2 linked regions of the Drosophila melanogaster genome follow. Changing the gene in region 1 together with any one later gene gives a genetic interaction. Each region holds a gene or a part of one and is shown in the gene's direction. Other genes may lie near its edges.

Evidence for each region. A genetic interaction does not mean that the proteins touch.
Region 2: of r (region 1) and su(r), changing one suppresses a phenotype caused by changing the other (phenotypic suppression), as found in Drosophila melanogaster (one study listed by BioGRID).

The regions. Positions count from the first base shown.
Region 1 is NC_004354.4:16,653,509-16,660,155, forward strand, and holds the start of r (rudimentary), read left to right. Parts: upstream 1-1,850; 5' UTR 1,851-2,101; intron 2,102-2,582; exon of another isoform or gene 2,583-2,651; intron 2,652-2,876; 5' UTR 2,877-2,889; coding exon 2,890-3,648; intron 3,649-3,712; coding exon 3,713-6,647. Other genes in the region: Nemp (nuclear envelope integral membrane protein), read right to left, coding at 1-560, 628-1,359. UniProt on the Drosophila melanogaster protein: Multifunctional protein that encodes the first 3 enzymatic activities of the de novo pyrimidine pathway: carbamoylphosphate synthetase (CPSase; EC 6.3.5.5), aspartate transcarbamylase (ATCase; EC 2.1.3.2) and dihydroorotase (DHOase; EC 3.5.2.3).
Region 2 is NC_004354.4:9,195,342-9,203,338, reverse strand, and holds su(r) (suppressor of rudimentary), read left to right. Parts: upstream 1-1,518; 5' UTR 1,519-1,719; intron 1,720-3,142; 5' UTR 3,143-3,161; coding exon 3,162-3,206; intron 3,207-3,265; coding exon 3,266-6,070; intron 6,071-6,128; coding exon 6,129-6,286; intron 6,287-6,360; coding exon 6,361-6,448; 3' UTR 6,449-6,531; downstream 6,532-7,997. Other genes in the region: CG12118 (uncharacterized protein), read left to right, coding at 7,237-7,788.

The DNA.
Region 1 (6,647 bases):
TCCGGCTCCGGCTCCGAGTTGCGGGCGGCCTGTTGATAGCGGAACTGCGAGTTGGGCAGCGGCAGTAACTCCGCTGGTTTATCCTCCTCAGGTTCCTCCACTGATTCCTCCTCGGGCGCCGCATCCATGGACTCCTCGATGGTGCGCGAGTGGTCCTCGATCTCTTCGTCGTCCAGATGCGGTGCTCCATTGGCGAACGAGGCGAAGCGCAAAGGATCACGCAGTTTGCCCATCACCGCCCACTGCTTGCACTCCGGACTGTTGACGTACTTGCGCAGGTCCGCCAGCGATTTCGAGGTCTCCACGGCCGTCTGCTGTTCGTACTCCTCCTGGGTGAGCATGCGCCTCTTTAGCGGAAAACGGCGGCGATACATGAACTTGATCTGGTTCGTCCACGAAATGGGGAAGTAGTGGGCCACAAAGACCAGCACCATGATGAAGATCACGGCGCTGGTGTGCCAGCTGCTGAAGTAAGCCATAACGGCGCCAATGGCCTGCAGCACCCACATGACGATGGTTTGCGATCGAGGATTCTTGGGCGGACCAATGCGATAGCAGATCTGTAGAATAATCGAGGCAATTAGCTGGGGTTATCTAATCAAAAGGGAATATCAAGTGACTACGCACCAGGAACGAGATCAGTCCGGTGATCACCAGATAGCCCAGCACATGGTCGCGGTAGGTGATCAGAATCAAACGCAGATTGTCCGCCAGCTGTTTGATCACATAGAAGCCAATGGTCCAGCCGCCAATTAGGACGCCATACATCATGGTACGTCGCGGAAAGAGTTTGGCGGCCAAATAGATGACCACCAGCAGGGAGGCGCATATGCCGATGACAATGCCGACCAGATAGTAGAACACACTGTTCTTTGCTAGCCGCCGGGCGCTGAAGAGGATCAGTATGCCGACGGCGAACTGTGCGAGACGCCACAGATCCAGCGGAATGCTATTCAGAATGACGGTGTACGCCTGGCGGGAGGAAATCCCGATGCACTGCTGCTCGAAGGGCGAGAGCTGCAGCAGCTGGCGCTTCTGCGCGAACAGGGTGATGCTGAACAGCGATTGCTTGTCCTTGTAGTGCTGCAACACCTCCTCCGGCGTCTTCCCACCGTACTGGGAATAATCATCGCTCCCGATGGCCAGGACGAACTCCACAGTCTCGAAGAGACTTGACACCGTCAGCCGTTTACCCGGATAGCAGAACGTGCGCAGAGTCTGCAGTCCCAAGATGTTCTCCGACAAATTGATGTATGTGCCCGGCGTCAGGTAGGCGACGTCCGAGGAAGCCGTATTGCCAGGAATACCCGATGTGAAATATCCAGCCACGGTTAGCATCAGTAGTCCAGCCGAATGCATTATGAACGGTTGCAATGGCGTTAATCTTATCAATCAGTGCGCTTTCAGTCTGTTGCTCTCGCAGGACGTTCGCTTGTTAAATGCTGACTTGCTTATGCTTGATGTTTTGATGTTTACTTTACTTTAAGGAATCGAATGAAAAAGCAACGCCGCTTTGGTTTATGTCCTCACTCACGACGGGACGGGCAGTATATCGTAACGTAAGAAAAATGTATCGATAGGTGTGTGTGTGACTACACTGTTGTGATTTCAAATTTGTGACTAACCATTTAATTGTGGATTATTTATTTCCTTTGGAATACTTTGCAGAACACCCCATTTAAACATGTTTGCTAATATTATTACAAATATCTTATCTTATTCATAACAATAAATGAATATATAACGTTCTTGCCAAGTTCCCAACCTGCAATATTACTTCTAGTAAAGTTCCACACCGCCGAGCTAAGCTCTTGCTGTGGCATTTTTTAGCACATAATGCACGAAGATTCCGATTCAACCAAGGCGGTGAATTCAGTTGTTCGACTTTGATTTTCCAGACGTTAATTGGAGCCAATTTGCAAGCAAACACAGTTAAATGCTCAAACTAAACATATCCGAGCAGTGCGAAGTTAACCAGCTCTAAAAGCGGTGTCGCAAAGTAAACAAATCAAGTTGTCAATCGAATTAAAGTCGAAACCAAAACGTGTTCACAACTACAAGTGCAGCAAAGAGAGAGCTTCGCTTGAAAGTACACGGAATCGTAAGTGAGCTGTAGTTGTAACGGGTGCAGATGGGAAAAGGATAACTTGATGGCGATACTAATGCATCGTAGCTTAAGGATTCTCAGTTGGTTAATCCTCAATTCCTGCCCAAAGTCCAATTCAAAGTTAAAGTCAATGTTATTGTTATTCTCATTTGCTGACCGAACCGGTTTCCAATTGGATCCAAACTTCTCACACGTGCTTACGCACACACAAAACGCACCCTCTCACACTCGCTCTTCCTCTTTCTTCTCCGCCGCTAGTCATCGTGTAAACAAACCGTGAATGGCAATATCAAATGACAACAGGAACTTGAAACGCTTGATAAGCAGTGTCCATTCCCAATCAGAACCGTGTTGTGCCCCGCTCAACATGTTGCCAGACAGTTAAATACATGCATACATTCATCTATCGCGGCTTCCTATTGGATTCTTTGTATATTTTCTTGGGCCGGCAAACTGTGTGCGTGTGACGGTGTGTTTATAAACACATGTGTTTTTTGAACAAGATAACCTGTGGAATTATATTACATTACATTTAAAATCGAGGGTATGCACGCGCTCTGCGTAAACATATAGCATAGTCATAGCATATACTCATTAAGTAAAGTTCCCAGAGTCGCCGAATATTGTTATCAGATTTTCGACTCAATATTGTGTCTACTTGCCTTCGTAGAGATATGATCTTTTAATTAATTAACTTTGCTCGTTTATTTAAGACGGTTTTCGAGTGACAGGTACTAAAGAATACCCTATGGTTTCCAATCCTCCCCAGCAACTCGTCCAATATGGCCTCTACGGACTGTTACCTCGCACTGGAGGATGGCACAGTGTTGCCCGGGTACTCCTTTGGCTACGTTCCCTCGGAGAATGAATCCAAAGTGGGTTTTGGTGGCGAGGTGGTCTTCCAAACGGGCATGGTTGGCTACACGGAGGCGCTCACGGATCGATCGTACAGTGGTCAGATCCTGGTGCTTACCTATCCACTGATCGGTAACTATGGGGTACCAGCGCCGGATGAGGACGAGCACGGACTGCCGCTGCACTTCGAGTGGATGAAAGGCGTCGTCCAGGCCACCGCCTTGGTGGTGGGCGAGGTGGCTGAAGAGGCATTTCACTGGCGCAAATGGAAGACGCTGCCCGATTGGCTGAAGCAGCACAAGGTGCCCGGAATTCAAGACATTGATACTCGAGCCCTGACCAAAAAACTGAGGGAGCAGGGAAGCATGCTAGGCAAGATTGTCTACGAGAAACCGCCGGTCGAAGGGCTGCCCAAGTCCAGTTTCGTAGATCCGAACGTCAGGAATTTGGCCAAGGAGTGCAGCGTTAAGGAGCGACAAGTGTACGGTAATCCCAATGGCAAGGGACCACGGATCGCCATTCTGGACTGTGGACTGAAGCTCAACCAGTTGCGCTGCCTGCTGCAACGTGGCGCCTCGGTGACCTTGCTCCCCTGGAGCGCTCGTCTCGAGGATGAGCAGTTCGACGCCCTCTTTCTGTCTAACGGACCTGGTAATCCGGAGAGCTGCGACCAGATCGTCCAACAGGTGGGTCACAATTGAATCATTTGGATAGAATATAATGCTAATTTAACTAATCTTTTGTTTCTAGGTGAGAAAAGTGATTGAGGAGGGTCAAAAGCCCGTCTTTGGAATATGTCTGGGTCACCAGCTGTTAGCGAAGGCAATCGGCTGCTCTACTTACAAAATGAAGTACGGCAATCGAGGACACAATCTGCCCTGCCTGCACCGAGCAACTGGACGTTGCCTGATGACGTCGCAGAATCACGGATACGCGGTCGATTTGGAGCAGTTGCCCGACGGCTGGTCGGAGCTATTTGTGAATGCCAACGACGGCACCAACGAGGGCATTGTCCATGCCAGCAAGCCCTACTTTTCGGTTCAGTTCCATCCGGAGCATCATGCTGGACCGCAGGACACGGAGTTCCTGTTCGATGTCTTTATGGAGAGCATTCAACAGAAGGATTTGACCATTCCGCAGCTGATCGAGCAGCGACTGCGTCCGACTACGCCTGCCATAGATTCGGCTCCAGTGATGCCGCGCAAAGTCCTAATCCTGGGATCCGGTGGACTGTCCATTGGTCAGGCTGGCGAGTTTGACTACTCCGGATCGCAGGCCATCAAGGCCATGAGGGAATCAAACATTCAAACAGTGCTCATCAATCCGAACATAGCCACCGTTCAGACCTCTAAGGGAATGGCCGACAAGTGCTACTTCCTTCCCCTAACACCTCACTATGTTGAGCAGGTGATTAAGTCGGAGCGTCCGAACGGAGTACTGCTCACCTTTGGCGGCCAGACCGCTCTCAATTGTGGCGTGCAACTGGAGCGAGCCGGAGTTTTCTCCAAATACAATGTCCGCATTTTGGGCACACCCATCCAGTCGATCATCGAGACGGAGGATCGCAAGCTCTTTGCCGAGCGGGTCAACGAGATTGGCGAGCAGGTGGCGCCATCTGAGGCTGTGTACTCCGTTGCCCAGGCACTGGATGCGGCCAGTCGCTTGGGTTATCCGGTGATGGCCCGTGCTGCCTTCTCCCTGGGCGGACTGGGTTCCGGGTTCGCCAACAACGAGGAGGAGCTGCAGAGCCTGGCCCAACAGGCACTGGCCCACTCGAGCCAACTAATTGTGGACAAATCCCTGAAGGGTTGGAAGGAGGTGGAGTACGAGGTGGTGCGCGATGCCTACAACAACTGCATTACCGTATGCAACATGGAGAACTTCGATCCCCTGGGCATCCACACGGGCGAGAGTATTGTGGTGGCCCCATCGCAGACCCTCTCGGATCGCGAGTACCAAATGCTCCGCAGCACCGCCCTGAAGGTTATCCGTCACTTTGGTGTCGTTGGCGAGTGCAACATTCAGTACGCCTTGTGTCCCCATTCGGAGCAGTACTACATTATCGAGGTGAACGCCCGACTGTCGCGCAGCTCCGCGTTGGCCAGCAAGGCCACCGGCTATCCACTGGCCTATGTGGCCGCCAAGTTGGCTTTGGGATTGCCCCTGCCAGATATCAAGAACTCGGTGACGGGCAATACGACGGCCTGCTTTGAGCCATCCCTCGATTACTGTGTGGTCAAGATTCCACGCTGGGATTTGGCCAAATTCGTGCGGGTTAGCAAGCACATTGGCAGCTCGATGAAAAGTGTCGGTGAGGTGATGGCCATCGGTCGCAACTTCGAGGAAGCGTTCCAAAAAGCCCTGCGCATGGTGGACAGCGATGTGCTTGGCTTTGATCCGGATGTGGTTCCGCTTAACAAGGAGCAGCTGGCCGAGCAGCTTTCGGAGCCGACGGATCGTCGTCCCTTCGTCATTGCCGCTGCTTTGCAATTGGGCATGAGCCTTAGGGAGCTGCATCAACTAACCAATATCGATTATTGGTTTCTGGAAAAGCTGGAAAGGATCATCTTACTGCAGTCCCTGCTCACCCGTAATGGCAGTCGAACCGATGCCGCTCTGCTGTTGAAGGCCAAGCGTTTTGGTTTTTCGGACAAGCAGATAGCTAAGTACATTAAGAGCACGGAGCTGGCTGTTCGTCACCAGCGGCAGGAGTTTGGCATCCGCCCGCATGTCAAGCAGATCGACACGGTGGCCGGCGAATGGCCCGCCAGTACCAACTATCTGTACCACACATATAACGGAAGCGAGCACGATGTGGACTTCCCCGGCGGACACACTATTGTGGTGGGCTCGGGCGTCTATCGTATCGGATCCTCAGTGGAGTTTGATTGGTGTGCCGTGGGCTGCCTGCGCGAATTGAGGAAGCTACAGCGACCCACCATCATGATTAACTACAATCCTGAAACGGTTTCCACCGACTACGATATGTGCGATCGCTTGTATTTCGAGGAGATTAGCTTCGAGGTGGTCATGGACATCTACGAGATGGAGAATAGCGAGGGCATCATTCTGTCCATGGGCGGCCAGCTGCCCAACAATATAGCCATGGATCTGCATCGCCAGCAGGCGAAGGTGTTGGGCACATCGCCGGAGTCCATCGACTGTGCCGAAAATCGATTTAAATTCTCGCGCATGCTGGACAGGAAGGGTATCTTGCAGCCACGCTGGAAGGAGCTGACCAACCTACAGTCGGCCATCGAATTTTGCGAGGAGGTTGGCTATCCCTGTCTGGTTAGGCCATCCTATGTGCTCTCCGGTGCGGCCATGAATGTGGCCTATTCCAATCAGGATCTGGAGACATATCTGAACGCCGCCTCCGAGGTGAGTCGCGAGCATCCGGTTGTCATTTCGAAGTTCCTCACCGAGGCCAAGGAGATCGATGTGGATGCAGTGGCATCCGATGGACGCATCCTGTGCATGGCTGTTTCGGAGCACGTGGAGAATGCCGGAGTGCATTCAGGTGATGCCACGCTGGTTACCCCACCGCAGGATCTGAATGCGGAGACCCTGGAGGCCATTAAACGGATCACATGCGATTTGGCCAGCGTACTGGATGTCACCGGTCCCTTCAACATGCAGCTAATTGCCAAGAACAACGAGCTGAAGGTCATCGAATGCAATGTCC
Region 2 (7,997 bases), 7.5 Mb from region 1:
CTGTAGTCCCGAGTTATTTATTTCACTTTAATGGGCAGCCAATGGAGGCTGGCAGGCGTTAGTGGCGCCTTTCCGGGGATTTCGACTAGAAAAGGCTACTGCAAACAACTCATTCATCTGGCCATTCAGCTAGAGATTATCCCAAGTTGATGGCCAATGTCACGGGCCAGTGCCAACTTGGAACTTGGCACTCAGAATGTCTGCGTTTTTATGGCCAATATGATTACAATTTAATGGCAGATAAATCAAGAAAAGCAAATGCTCATGGCCAAAAATAAATGCTAGGAGCACCGGAAACGTATTATATATTTTATAATAAGTTAGCAATCTAAAATGTCTGCAACATTTTAGAAAATAAGCTATTTGTATTCTTTATGTTAAACACAACACTTTAGAATGAGCATTTCAATTAAACGATTGCATACTTCTAGGCCAAGTTTATGTAAAAGCCGCGTTGATAAATAAATCCAAAAGGTAAACTGCCAAAATGCGAACTTCAATTTGATTTGATTTCAAAAATTATCCAAATGAAGCTTATAAATGTTTAGCTTTTAACAAATATGCTGGTATATTTATCAAAAATTTTATGAAAGAATAACGATATATATATAATACAAATCCTCTAAAATAGCATTCTTTTGGGCTGTGATTATATGAATGAACTGATGTAATGTGCTACAGCAAAATCTCCAAAGTGAAACTACCTGATATTCAACTAATTAATATTTATTTGCAAACTTCTATCATTCTGCAAAATGTAACATCTAATCATTCAGTAAATAATCTTTATCTGAACTAAGAAAACTGAAGAAATAATATTCATATTATTATATTTTTAGTACCATTGCAATTATTAAAGCATCTATTTGAAATTCTGTAGAAGTTCGCTCAACTGAATACTTACTGTAGTAAATTGTAAGGTTGATTCAATCGAAACTGAGAGCGAAGAGTGTACAAACAAAACTAAGGCGATCGAATAGCACACCCTGAAATACTTTATCTACACTAAGAAAAGTTCGAAAAGATACCATCTTAGAGATAAAATTGGGATAGTGATAAAATCAAATGGAAAATATAAAAAAATTTGATAAAAAATAAACCTCTTAGATACTTTTACGAGATTGAGTTTTAAATTCATAATATATAATCTTATGTAATAAATATATAAGATCTTATCTCGTTATGATTTGCGTGTTTTTCTCAGTGTTCAACAACGTTAACAACTAGACAACAATGTTTTTGCAAAGACATACCAGACGAGAACTATATATATATATATGGATTGTTTTGAGAAAATAATAAAGATATACTATTACTTACTAGCCCAGCAACTTAACTTCATATTGTTATCTCATTGCGACTCTAAAGCTATTGTGTGTAAAATCTGATAAAGACCCCCCCCCCCCCCCCCATTTGGGAGCTAGGCTACGCCCCTGTGAAATGGGAAGACCGACGTCGGCAGCGACGCCGACTGCGACGCAAAACCGAGTTAACGACGATTTGGAAATCGGTTTCCAAGAGCATTTTCAATTGGGCGTTTCCAGTGTGAAGACCAATTCGAATTTTTCGTGTTTTTTTTTTTAGTCGCCAAACCGTCGCCAGTCGATTTTCACTCCAGCTAGTGAATAGCTATTATTATTATTTTTTTTCGCTGTGCTAATCTAAAGATTCTAATAAAAAAAAGTGTTCATAAATTAGCTAATAACGTTCCTTCGATCGGTATGTATTGCGGCCACCAATCTTGGCTAAATGAGCAAAAAGAAAAAAAATTGAAAAAAACATCTAACAATCAAACGAAACGAAACCCAATTTAAGCATAAGCAGCAGCTCGAATTCTGAACTTGTTTTTCGCATTTCGCCATTAGCATATAGCATATACATATGTACCTACGTATAATGAAAACATATTCAAAAACTTGCCGGACCACGAAGCCAAACTGATAATGAACAAACAGCAGCTGGGGGCTTCAACTATTATGACAAAAACGAAAAAAACAAAATACATCTATAAAAATTCTTAATCAGCGCGCTAGAGTGTGCGCGAGAGCGAGAGGGCGCGCGGCGCCGAGGGAGATAGCGCGTGTTACAAAATATTAATTGAATTGAATTCGATTGAAGGTCTTGTAAAGCAAAGCTCCACGTTTGTGTGATTAAAATAGTTATGGCTATTCACAAAAAGCCAAGTAATTGGTAATGTGAGAATGGTTAATATGTAAAACAACTTTATTATCGTTTATAATTAGGCAATAGCTAACAGTCGGTTTACTTACCATTATTAATTCACTGTGCTAATAGATAATGAATAATGTTTACTTTGTATTAAGCACATGCTTAGAAGATACAGCTAAAGGCATACAAAACAACTTCCGCCGTCGATTTGCAACGGTGACAGTTTTTTTTTATTAAATGCGTATTACTTTACAAAGTTTCTGGCATTTGGTTCATAATATAATAATAATAATAATATTTAATAATATAATAATATTTGTGGCAATTCTCAAAGTTAAAAGGAAAAGCAACTGTAAATAGAATATGTATTTCGAAGTTAGTTTATTACTTCTTCTAAGCTGAGATACATTTAATAGATACATTTACGCCAGCTTGAGATACTTAACCTACTAGATACTTAAATGAAATCGAAAGCAGAACTTCCGAATCGAGTGCTTGCCCCATTATCGCTAAAAAAAAAAGAAGCGAAACGGGCCCCCCCGATCGTAACCTTCGCCGGTTTCTAATCTTTCCTCTTCGTGGGGTGGCACCATTTATTTTTGGGGTTCTGAAACTTTTGGTGGAAAAACAGCAGATACAGAAACGTATAGAAAACCGGGTGGTGCCAATATGCGTGCCATCATAAAGCCATCATAATCTCCGCTAGCCGTCGCAGCCTTGACTGATATGATGATAACGCCCTCATACATAAGATGATAAGACCAATGGTGTGGCATTAGTGCACTTAGATACAGCGTCTTGTCCAGGATCGATTTGGATTTCGAGTGGGGCAGCGATAAGACGACTGGGAGTCACCATTCGCGATTAGGGTATTCTGGCTGCGATGCGATAGGGATAGGGTAGTTCGCCGATCTGCACGTGGCCATCAACCGCAGTCTGTAATCCATATGTTCCACTTTCACTTCATTAACAGGTGAAACAGTGCCAGCAAGATGAGTCCGCCCCAACTTTTGAGCAAGGACTCCCCAGATATTGAGGTAGGTCCTGGATCATGATTCACTTCCCGTTGATAGTGAAAACCTTTCGTAATTCCTAGGACCTGCTGTCGCTAAATCCGCGAGTGAAGACGCAGTGCTCCGTGGTGCCCACCAAGCAGACGAAGGAGAACAAGAAGCACTGGAAACGCAATGCGGATCACGCTGCTCCGCCGTGCACCACGCTGGCCAACGACTTCTCGGACATCAAGCACACCACATTGTCGGAGCGCGGAGCTCTAGAGGAGGCGGCCAGGTGCCTCAAATGCGCCGATGCTCCGTGCCAAAAGTCCTGTCCCACGCAGCTGGACATCAAGAGCTTCATTACGAGCATTGCGAATAAGAATTTCTATGGCGCCGCCAAGGCGATCTTCTCCGACAATCCGCTGGGTCTGACCTGCGGCATGGTCTGTCCCACCAGCGATCTCTGCGTGGGCGGTTGCAATCTGCAGGCCTCCGAGGCGGGACCGATTAACATTGGTGGCCTCCAGCAGTTCGCCACCGAGGTGTTCAAGAAGATGGGCGTGCGGCAGCGGAGGACACCGCAGGCGGAGGCCAATCCGCTGTCGCAAAAGATCGCCCTCGTGGGCGGCGGACCGGCATCGCTGTCGTGCGCCACCTTCCTGGCCCGTCTGGGCTATCGGGATGTGACCATCTACGAGCGGAGAAGCTATCTGGGTGGCCTGAGTGCCGCTGAAATTCCCCAGTATCGTCTGCCCATCGATGCGGTTAACTTTGAGATCGATTTGGTTCGCGATCTGGGCGTACGCATCGAAACGGGTCGCTCGCTGGGCACCAAGGATTTGACCATCCAGGGACTCCTGTCCACCGGCCATGATGCCGTCTTTGTGGGCATTGGCCTGCCGGAACCGAAGCTGAATCCCATTTTCGCTGGCCTTCAGCCCAGCAATGGTTTCTACACCTCGAAAAACTTCCTGCCCTTGGTGTCGGATGGCTCGAAACCGGGTTTGTGCGCCTGCAAGGCAGCGGCCGGTTTACCCAAGCTCCATGGCAATGTCATCGTTTTGGGTGCCGGTGATACGGCCTTCGATTGCGCCACTTCGGCGCTGAGATGTGGTGCTAGGCGTGTGTTCGTCGTCTTCCGCAAAGGATCCTCCGGCATTCGTGCTGTGCCCGAAGAGGTGGAGCTGGCGCGTGACGAACGCTGTGAGCTGTTGCCGTACCTGAGTCCACGCAAAGTGATCGTCAAGGATGGCCTGATCACAGCCATGGAATTCTGTCGCACGGAGCAGAACGAAAACGATGAATGGGTGGAGGATGAGGAGCAGACGCAGCGCTTGAAGGCGAACTTTGTGATCTCCGCCTTTGGGTCCGGCCTGGAGGATCAGGATGTCAAGGCGGCACTAGCGCCGTTGCAATTCCGCGGCGAATTGCCCGTGGTGGACAGGGTGACGATGCAGAGCAGTGTGAAACAGGTGTTCCTCGGCGGCGATCTCGCTGGAGTGGCCAACACCACGGTGGAGTCGGTCAATGATGGCAAGGTGGCCGCCTGGAGCATTCATTGTCAACTGCAGGGCCTGCCACTGGACACGCCGGCTGCACTGCCGCTCTTCTATACGGACATCGATGCCGTGGACATATCGGTGGAGATGTGCGGCATCCGGTTCGAGAATCCCTTTGGCCTGGCCTCCGCACCGCCCACCACCAGCACGGCCATGATACGTCGCGCCTTCGAGCAGGGCTGGGGCTTTGTGGTGACCAAGACGTTCGGTCTGGACAAGGATCTGGTCACGAATGTCTCGCCGCGCATCGTCAGGGGCACCACGTCGGGCTACAAGTATGGACCGCAGCAGGGCTGTTTCCTGAACATCGAACTAATCTCGGAGAAGCGGGCCGAGTACTGGCTGAAATCGATTGGAGAACTGAAGCGTGACTTCCCCGAGAAGATCGTGATAGCCAGCATTATGTGCAGCTTCAACGAGGAAGACTGGACGGAGTTGGCCATTAAGGCGGAGCAGTCGGGTGCCGATGCCCTCGAGCTGAATCTATCGTGTCCACATGGCATGGGCGAGCGAGGTATGGGCTTGGCCTGTGGCCAGGATCCCGAGTTGGTGGAGCAGATCTCTCGCTGGGTGCGAAAGGCGGTCAAGCTGCCCTTCTTCATCAAGCTAACGCCAAACATTACGGATATCGTTTCCATTGCGGCGGCCGCAAAGCGGGGAGGAGCCGATGGCGGATCGGCCATCAACACCGTTCAGGGACTGATGGGCCTCAAGGCGGACTCCACCGCCTGGCCGGCGATTGGCAAGGAGCAGCGCACCACTTACGGCGGCGTCTCCGGCAATGCCACTCGTCCGATGGCTCTGAAGGCCATCTCTGATATTGCCAACCGTGTGCCGGGATTCCCCATTCTCGGTATCGGTGGCATCGATTCCGGTGAGGTTGCGCTGCAGTTTATTCATGCGGGCGCCACTGTTCTGCAGATCTGCTCCTCCGTACAGAACCAGGACTTCACCGTCATCGAGGACTATTGCACGGCACTGAAGGCACTGCTCTACCTGAAGGCGAATCCGCCACCAGTCGATGGTCCCTTCTGGGATGGCCAGTCACCACCCACGCCGGTCCATCAGAAGGGCAAGCCCGTTGTCCGTTTGACCGGCGAGGGCAAAGCCACGCTGGGTTTCTTTGGTCCCTACCAGCGGCAGCGCGACATCAAGATGGCCGAGCTGCGAAGTCAGAAGGGAGCTCTTTGGGATGCCGAGCAGGTGAAGGCCACTCCTCCGGCGTCCAATGGAGCACCCAATCCGGCACCAAGAATCAAGGATGTGATCGGAGCAGCGCTAGACAAGATCGGGTCATACAACAAGCTGGATAACAAACAACAGAAGGTGGCGCTCATCGATGATGTGAGTGCTGAGTTATCATTAAAGTATCCAAATTTCTAATTGCATCCGTGCTTTCCAGGACATGTGCATAAACTGCGGAAAGTGCTATATGACCTGCGCCGATTCCGGCTACCAGGCCATCGAATTCGACAAGGACACCCACATTCCGCACGTGAACGACGATTGCACGGGCTGCACACTCTGCGTCTCCGTTTGTCCCATCATCGACTGCATCACGTGGGTTCCTCAATGTCACCAGCATCATATATATACTGGTTAACTAACTATATTATGTATTTATATATTTCCAGCATGGTGCCCAAGAAGATTCCGCACGTGATCAAGCGAGGAGTCGAGGAGAAGATCTTCTACACCCACGCTCTCAGCCAGTGCCAGTAAAAGTCCCTAGTTCTACGCGAAATACCGATAGTAAATTCCAATCTATGTAATTCAATTAAATACAAAACATGTTTCAAAAGCAGAAGATGGCATTCAGTTTTATTTGCTTAAAAATACGAAAGTAGGAAAAATAACTTTAAAAAAATTACTATGTTTATTATATCACTGATGACCAATCCACTTATTTTATAATCATTTTGATTTGAAATTCGTATTTGAAATTGGCGCGCAACTCAAGCTTTTCCCAACTTTATCGATGTCTATCAGCTGATTTTGGAGACCAATTTTTTAGCAAAAAAAAACAAAAATTCTATTAATATATATTGTCTGCGAAATTAACGAACAGTTAAGCTCAAGTAGCAACAACGAAATTTACTTTAATGTTTTGAAATATATATAACATTAATTATTTACCATATTACTTTTCTCATCCCTAATATAGGCGATACTATCGAATGGGATCAGCTGTTTGTCGATATTGAAAATTTTAGTTTAGAAAAACAGAAAAACGGAACGACGTAGGAATCCAGTAGCAGCTGTGCGTCAAAAAAAACTAGTCGTCTCTACTTTCAAATAGGCAATAGATTTAATCTGAAAACAAAATTCAACGTAAAATTCTAAAGCCACATAAAATCCGGCATTATTTGAAAGCGTCTGCAGAGCACAGCACTCCAAATCCAGTTCCGCCATCCAAGGTAAGCACCATTGTCGTCGCATTGCATCTCGCATCCAAAATAGCACTGATTGCCAGCAGATTCTACGCATTTACAGAAGCATATGATATAATAATGTCTCGATCATTGAGTCGCGTATTGGGTACCATCTGGGCGCCATCCCTGTCCATTTCACATACCGTACATCGCGGATCCAACAGACTGAACGACCTACTGAGCACCAAGGTGACCAACACGGCCATCATTCCGGTGGCTAGATACTCCAAGCGAAATGGCCCACCGTCGGATGCCGGCGGATACTTTAAGACCGTCAAGTCGCGGGATCTCGACGACGACGATGAGCTAAATAGTTTGGAGAGTGAGCCCAACTGGGAACTGACCGCCGAAAGAGGCAATCGCTTCTATCTGCCAAATGGCATTGGGCCCGCCTGGCAGGGCGACAGCACCACCGTCGGTCTGCTCGAGCCGCTTGGCCACCTGGTTAACTTTCACAAGGGTCCCAATACGGACAAATCGCGCCTGGAATTCACCTGCTGTAAGTGTCCCCTGCTTATCCGTGTGCCACTCTTGGAGATCTTCCCGGTACCCGTCGTCGCACAGCAGTGCATAAACATCACCATGCTTGTTCTCAGCCACGAAGGAGACATCGAAATGGGCGCTGCCAAGGTGAGAAATCAGTTTTATTCACGCATCCACACTGTAGCGGGAAATCACACTGCAGTGTATTTGGATGAATTGGAGGAATGACCTCGTTATTGCTCTGATCATTTGTTTATATACAATCAAACCAGTTTAGCACGTTGAAAGCTAGGTGGGTTGACCTTCCTTAAGTTTGGCACCCAATTTTAAAGTAAGCCATAACATTTTCAATCATT